Danio rerio: one gene and its partner. The protein of the gene in region 1 interacts with the protein of each later gene in a biochemical or structural test. Links are inferred from orthologs where the notes say so. Each region holds a gene or a part of one and is shown in the gene's direction. Other genes may lie near its edges.

Evidence for each region.
Region 2: the proteins of plin3 (region 1) and m6pr form a complex in vitro, tested with the Homo sapiens proteins (2 studies listed by BioGRID). The link is inferred for Danio rerio from reciprocal best matches to the Homo sapiens genes PLIN3 and M6PR.

The regions. Positions count from the first base shown.
Region 1 is NC_133183.1:21,143,187-21,147,017, reverse strand, and holds part of plin3 (mannose-6-phosphate receptor binding protein 1), read left to right. Parts: exon of another isoform or gene 1-754; intron 755-2,049; exon of another isoform or gene 2,050-2,243; coding exon 2,244-2,602; intron 2,603-3,831. UniProt on the Homo sapiens protein: Structural component of lipid droplets, which is required for the formation and maintenance of lipid storage droplets. Required for the transport of mannose 6-phosphate receptors (MPR) from endosomes to the trans-Golgi network.
Region 2 is NC_133191.1:17,663,642-17,667,980, reverse strand, and holds the start of m6pr (cation-dependent mannose-6-phosphate receptor precursor), read left to right. Parts: upstream 1-1,346; 5' UTR 1,347-1,581; intron 1,582-2,076; 5' UTR 2,077-2,092; coding exon 2,093-2,241; intron 2,242-2,341; coding exon 2,342-2,499; intron 2,500-2,825; coding exon 2,826-2,932; intron 2,933-4,339. UniProt on the Homo sapiens protein: Transport of phosphorylated lysosomal enzymes from the Golgi complex and the cell surface to lysosomes.

The DNA.
Region 1 (3,831 bases):
AATTTGGACAAAAATGTCAGATAGAACCTTATAATTCTAAGATAATGAAATGTCTTCGAAAATGAAAGAAAATATGTAAGTTCAAGGTTAAATCATATGAAAAAAATGAAACTGAACGTGTTTATATATACATTATTGTAATGAAAGAGCACATTTTTTAGAAAGACCTTTTAGTTTTTAATGAATCAACACCTCAGTTTCAAGTATAATCTTATTTTCCAGAAATGCAATTTAATACATGCTAAGTTGTATATTACAGTGTTTAAAACAGAAAAAATAACTGTACAATACATTTTTTTTCCATTAATAATTTTGTTCAGCAAGCATGTATTAATCAAAGGTGGGACTTTACAGTTATATTATTTATAACATAATTAAATAACAATAAATGCTGTCTTTTGTCTTTTCATTTGTTAAAGTATCCTGGAAAAAATGATAACATTACATCACAGTTGGTGTAAACTTATAATATTGAACATGTGAGGCTGAAGACTGTCATAATGATGGTGAAAATCATGCCATCACAGAAATAAGTGAAGTTTATTTATAAACTAATTTCGAGAGGATCACATGCTTATGATTGCTTGCAGCTGGTCCCACATTATTCAATTTATGATTCACCAATCAGACGATTCCTAAGCCACTATAATCACCCTAAGTTCCCTATGACAGCCATCTTCATTTTAAAGAATCCTCCCTTTCACCCCCACTCCTCCTCCTTTCCTAGATGGGTGGCATGGTGACCCAGTGGTTAGTACTGTTGCTTCACAGCAAGAACGTCACTGGTTTTAGTCCTTACTAAACCAGCCAACGTTTCTATGCAGAGTTTAAACGTTCTCCCAGTGCTCAAGTGGGTTTCCCCCGGGTTCCCCTGTTTCCTTCCATTGTCCAAAAACATGCAACTTCAGTTAATTGACCAATCCAAATCAGCACCATAGACATGCTGCTAGTAAGTAGTTATCTCTTAACAGCAATCACTCTCTGTTCATTAGCTACTACAGCAGGGGAGTTCTCGAGATCTACCTGAGCTTAAACTCACCTCTCGCCTTGCAAACCGGAGGGAGCCCCGGGCTCAAGGATCTTATGAGCTCAGGGCTCTCTCCCGGCACAGCATGCCAAACAAGCTTTATAATCTATCATCAGCTTAGTGTGAACTCTTGAAATTACATTTAAATGCATTAAATTCACAATTTTTGATTTAATCAAATATAGGCATGCTTGGTGCATGAGACATTTTTGAGAAAAACATTAACAGATCAATATAAACACAGGGTGCTAATTACAGGAGGATTTGGGGGGGTGGGGGTCTGACCCCCCTAATTAACACCTGATTTCCCGTAAAGACATTAAAACAAGATGTACTGGGGGTAAGCCCCTTAATATTGAGAAAAATTTTGCTCTAAACTATATTTTAAATAATAATGTTAATAATTAAATTAATAGATAACATGAATATACATTTGGCCACCGTTATAACGGTTCATCCCACTGAGTATGCATAATCACGCCAATCAATCTATGCGTCAAAACATTCATTCAACAGCCTGAAACTGGCTACAGCACTGGTGTTCACAAGACACCAATGTTTTGTCATAAAATGTGTGCTTGTTTCTCCATAAAGCCCAAAAATAAAGTCACATTTGATGTATAGTTAGTAAAGTTTAACAGTGCCTACAGTAACGTTTGAAATACTGTTGGTCAAAATACACTCAATATCTAAATACCTACATATAATTGATTTAATTATTCATTCATTCATTTCTTTTTTCGGCTTAGTCTCTTTATTAATCTGGGGTTACCACAGCGAAATGAACAGCCAACTTATCCAGTACACGTTTTACGCAGCGGATGCCCTTCCAGCTGCAAAACAACACTGAGAAACACCCATACACTTTTGCACACACTTCCATACACTATGGCCAATTTAGCTTATTCAATTCACCTGTATAACTTCTTTGGACTGTGGGGGGAACCCGGAGGAAACCCACGCGAACATGGAGAGAACATGCCACACAGAAATGCCAACTGACCCAGCCGAGCTTAAACCAGTGACCTTCTTGCTGTGAGGCGATTGTGCTATATTAAATGTCATTTAAATAAATACATACTTTTTATTCACTGAAGCATGTATTACATTACAGACCAACATTACAAAAAAGTTGACTTTTCGTCTATGTATAATTCACACACTGTATATACATTTAAAGTGATACCAATACCAATGCTGTGTGTTCCTCCAACAGCTACGCTTGCTGAGCCAAGGCCAGGGGAGGAGGAAGGATTCATAGTGTCCACTCGTTCCAGCTACTTTGTCCGTCTGGGTAAACTGTCTGCCAAAGTTCGAGAGAGGGCGCTTGAGCAGTCCCTCCTTAGGGCCCGCAAGGCCAGAGACACTACACATGCGTCTGTGACTCAAATGACCAGCACTATGGACCTGCTGGAAAGTGCCCGGGTTACCTTGACCAGTGCCAATCAGCAGCTAGCAGGGGCTCCAGAGCAGCTGCTTCAGCGATGGAAAGAGTGGAAAGAAGGACAGCCCAAAGAACTGCAGGAAAAAGTAACAGCAGAGACAGAAGCGGACGGAGCAAAAGACAAAGAACAGGTACAGATGCACTTTCACAAAATCTTTCAGAAGTAATGAACATTCAAATATGATTAACTTTGATTGAGGGACCCTTTATCCTTAAATGTAAAAGACTTTTAAAAAAATATTTGGGGATTAAGTCTATTAAATATTTTTACTCGTAGTACTGGCTTTTTTAAAAAAAAAAAGAATTTATTTGCAGATTAATTTATTGTTTCAATTTCATTTCTTTAATTTTTTGCATTTATTATTATTTATTTATTTATTTTAATACAATTTTTGATTATTTTTTTACATTTCATACATTGTAATCATGTTATTATATTTATTAATTATGTAATTATTATTACATTATTTTAATTATTTTATTTAATGTATATAACTGTGTTTTATTCCCACTTATCCCCCCTGTGCCCTATTAATTTAGAACATTCTAACATTTAAACTTGGAATGATTCAAATAAAAATGCATTCAAAGTCATCTCTTTTAGGTGTAATTTACTTTTAAAGTATTTTTACAGTTCAGTTTTAGAGATCTTCATGTTTACAGTTGTGCTCCCTTCGCACTGCACTTTGAAAACATTGATGTTATTTGGAACACAGCCTCACAACAAAAGCTATAGGTGACTTATTATTTAAAAGTGGAATTTGTTAGGTCTCTAAAGCTTGTGAAAACAAAAAAACATAGCATACGTTAATGCTTTTCATTTATAGTGGGTCATTTATTAAGTATCTGTACTCTATGTATTATTATTATTATTATCATCATCATCATCATCATCATTATCATCATTATTTTTTTCATCAGGATTTTTTAAATTTCTTATGATAAATATCAAATTTCATTTTTGATGGTTCATTCTGCTGTGGCGATCCCGGATTAATAAAGGAATATTAAGCCAAAAAGAAAATGAATGAATGAAATTTCATTTTTAATAAATAGCCTCAGTTTTTAATGAATTATATGATTTATATATGATATTAGAATACGTGTTAGCTTCTGTAAGTGATTTTATGTTAATATGTAATATTCTCAATAATATTTGTAAAGGAAACACAGGCCCTGTATGTGTAATTTACATATATTTCAGTTAATATGGAAAAGGAGAGCATGATTTTACTAAAACTAATATTTGTTTTAAATGCGCGTGTGTGTAAAACAATATAATTTGCACAAAAAATGATGGGGTTCTTCTCTAAAGAAGTTGTTACTCCACCCAGTTTAGAGCATCATTATGGGCGTTTTA
Region 2 (4,339 bases), on another chromosome or scaffold:
GACGTCTGCCAGACGTTTGTATACAGCAGGTGCTTTCCAGATCAAGAGATCTTTAACAGACATCTTGCAGACGTATACAGACACAAAATATCTAATACAATGGCATTTCAACCTTTATACCATTAAAATGGATAAATCAAGTATATAATTTCTTATATTAGTATTACTTAATTGTTTAGATTTTTAAAAGGCACATTAACTTCTTTCACATTTACACATGGATCGATAATTGCAATAATTTGACCATAAACAGCTGAAAAAATTTATTGGAAATAAAAATTCATTCTGTCACAAGGGGGCGCTTTAGGAGCGCTGAAATATTACGGTTTCCCTAGTAATGACTGTACACAAATCAGTATTATATGCGACCAAAATGGTCGTAATTTCGAGCCCTGCATTAGCAGCAGCTGTCTGGAGTTGACTATGTTAACTTTAATTAGATGTAGTTTCATAACAAGCAAACTCAGTTCACCTTTTGAAAAGAAAGCAGTCATCAGCTGCTTCCCCTCATTCTGCCCCCTTTCTTTTTCCTTCCTTTCTTTCTTTTTTTGAAATCCCGATTTGGGCTTTTTGCGCAGCATGATCAGGCTCTAGACTCACTGCGTAACTTTTGCCGCCGGCTGCCGTCTATGGGCGGACTAAACCATTTCGGGTGGGGGGGTGTTATCAATATATTTTGAAATATATGATGACATTGACATCAATTAGAGGGGCCAATTAATTCGAAGTAGGCTACAAAAAAAAAAAAAATAATAAAAAATTGGTGGGATTTCAAAGGGCCCTCTCCCTAGACGGGGACTTGGGTAGTCAGGTCCACTCCCCCCCTCCCCCCACTACCACGCCCATGACTGTAGGCAATGTGTGTGAATAACTGTATGGGTGTTTCCCAGTGATGGGTTGCAGCTGGAAGGGCATCCGCTGCATAAAACATATGCTGGATAAGTTTGCGGTTCCTACTACTATGGTGATCCCAGCTTAATAAAGGGACTAAGCCAAAAAGAAAATGAATAAATGAATGTTTGACTCAATTGACTGAAGGAGTGTAATTTAAATTGCCTGTGCATTAAAAGCTTTCATTACGGTAATTAAATAACTTATTGAGTAAATTAATTGCTTTCCAGAACTAGTAATTAGAAAAGTACATTATTTGAAAACAATTCAATAATATAGTTAGTCATTACTTACTTTTTTTTTGAAGTAATTTACTCAACGTTGCTCGCAAGGGGGGTAGAACTCGTGTTATTGCCTGACCAGCACTCAATTTCCCATGTTCACGTGCAGCAAACCAACTTCCGCCTCATGCACAGTCACATGTGCATGTTTAGTTTCACTTCCGCGTTTAAGAAGAAACCATTAAATTCTGTTATCGTGCAATTGTTTTAGAGTGAATATTCATAAGTTTGTTTATTTGGTTTGTAAAAGTTGACAGCAGAAGATATTTTGACGTAATGCCGATTAGTCTAGTTTAAAGACGGTAAGTTAGTGCGATAGTTTTGAAATAGGAAGATCTCCAGGCTGGGAAGACAAATCTAACGTTAACGTTATACAAGTTAAGACCTTCACTTTCCTTCATTCAAAACGGTAATAGGACTTATTATATGTGTGTTTGTGTTTAATTATAGCTAAACTACTTTCGCAAAAACACAAATTACTGGTTTCCTAACTAAAGTGCTTCATTGTCATTTGCTTCATTGCTTTAATTTATTGCAACTTTTATTGCCTTTTTGCTAACATTGTTAGTATCACAACGTTACCAGTACGGCGTTGCTCTGTTGCCATTACAGTAAGGCATTTGTAGTTATGCAAGAATCTGTAAACATGCCCAGTTAAGGCAATTTCACTTGATCAAACTAATTTCACGGTATAACACGTGGAACACGCATGATACGAACCAAATTTAAGATGTAACGTTATGCAATTTAAATACTATAAATTGAAATGCGCAAGATATGAGACATGACTGAATTTACTATATTAAAGTACACAGTTTGTGTACAGTGTGACTCAAATGATCACTTACCAAAGAAATACTGTGCATTTACAGTACTATTTAATGTGATCCCCTTTTTCCATCAGGTGTGTTCTCTAAGTCATGTTGCTGTCTGTGAGAATAATCACTCCACTTTTCGTACTATTTGCTGGAGTGCAAGCTAGGTTCAACACGAGCAACTGCAAGCTTGTGTCAGACAGTGAATCTCAGAGAAAAGCACTCCGTTTACTCGAGCCTCTCACCAATCAAAAGTAAGCCTGATTTTTGTGAATTAAGCCCACATTAAAGTTAGCAGTTTACTGCAACAACTACCTAACTAGTTTTTAACTTTTTTGTATATTCTCTGAACAGCTTTACCACAGAGGGACAGGAGAAAGAAAAATATTCATACATTTTTCAGGTGTGTGGTGATGCTGGCGGAGTAAAGAATGCAGGTCTTATTCAGCAAGAAAAAGGTGGAAAGACGATTCGAATTGGGGACTACAGTAAAACAGTTGCCACTGCAGGAAGTATGTTATACTTCTAGTCTTTCAGAACAAAAAAATCTTTGTTTTTTTGCTTTCATCATAAACATTCTTAAAATAAATTATAGCTGATAAAATGATAAGTTAATTTATTATAGTAGATTTAATCAGTTCTTCTTTATAATAATGACTGCTGAAAGATTCTTCTGTGGCTTACATGATTTTTCTTACATTATTTACATAGTAGGAGTTGGAATAGAATATTGCAGTACACAAATGTTTCTTTATATTACAGAAGCTGTTGCATTTGCACAGGGTGCATTGTTAACAGATTGTTGACCTAAGTTCACCTATTTGGTTTTATGATACAGGTGACTGGGTTCTGCTCATCTATGAGGGTGGGGAAAAATATGACAGCCATTGTTCCAGTGAGGAGAGAAAAGCCATGATTATGATTTCATGCAGCTCAAGTTCTAAGGTACAAACTTTTTAAGTTTTTAAATGGTACAGATTGAATGCTGAAATGCAGTTAAATGCTTGCTGGAATATGTAAGGCTGGACCAGAATATTACATTTTTCCAATGTTCATTTTGTAAGTTGACATTCGATTTTCAATTTTGAGATTTGAATATTCTTTTACTTAATTCTTTTGGAATACCTGGCATCCCCTGCAGAATGGATTAAATTACATGCACTTAAAAACACACATAAAAGACACAAATAAAGAATATACCAGTGGTGTGGGTCCACACTTCCATAGTAAAAGCCCTAAACTGTTATTAGCAGCCAAATACCTCCTTTGCTTTTCAGTCGGAGGGCTCAATAACAGCACGATAAGCACATTTTCTCAAAAGCTGGAAACATTAGTTATGTTTCCATCCAGAAATGCAAATGAACTTAATGCGCAAAACTGGATTTTTGCATAAAAGACATATAAATAAAGCAGCGTTTCCATCCAACTAGTCAAAGCGAACAAAATCATCACTTCCTGATTGACTGGTGCCAAATTTTAACTGTAAAAATGGAATTTGTAGCAGTAGAAGAAGCTGCGTCAATCTTTTCTTTATCTAAAAAATAATTTGCAACTCGAAGGCAATCCTGACAAGCAGTGAACACGTGGTTGCGTTTGAAGGTATCAGACGCGGAGCACAGACGCTCTTGATTCTGGAGGTCATTAATAATATAATAACACTAATGATAAATTGTAAGGAATTTTCAAATGACCAAATTAACATTTCAGATGTTTTACAGTGTGCTCAGCCTGCTGGGTTGTCCATTCACACACATTTTCATCATCACATGATCTCTTATCACAATATCCCATGGCCTTTTTTAATGCGCATACTGAAATTTGTGTGGTAAAAGTGTTTCCATTGTAGTTTATGTGCATTTTTTCTTACCGATTAAAAAGTTTATCCTATTAAGTTATGCGCATAAGTTTTTTTATGCGCATTTTCAAAATGTATGCCCATCAGGGTGTTTTTATCAGCCTTTTTTTCCATTGAGCAGCCCTACTATTATACATGTATTTTTAAGTACCAAAAAAAAAATCAAAACATGCTTAAAATTCCAACATAATAGTAAAAATAATTAAAATAAATAACTTTAAATAATTATTTAAATTTTGCTCACTCGCGCAATGTGCTTGTCCAACGTGTCGTAAGGGCAAAATCAAAACAAAAATGGCAGAGAAACGTAAATGCAGTGATTGCAGTGCTGTGGCCATGTATCATTAGTGTGGTGTCCATTCGCAAATCATACAAGCCCTTCTGGCTCACGCTGTTCTGCAGTTCATTAAATATTTATTCATTCTAAATGTGTCCATATTGCACAAAAAATGGAACACATGAAGGTACAGGTGAATTGGGTAGGCTAAATTGTCCAT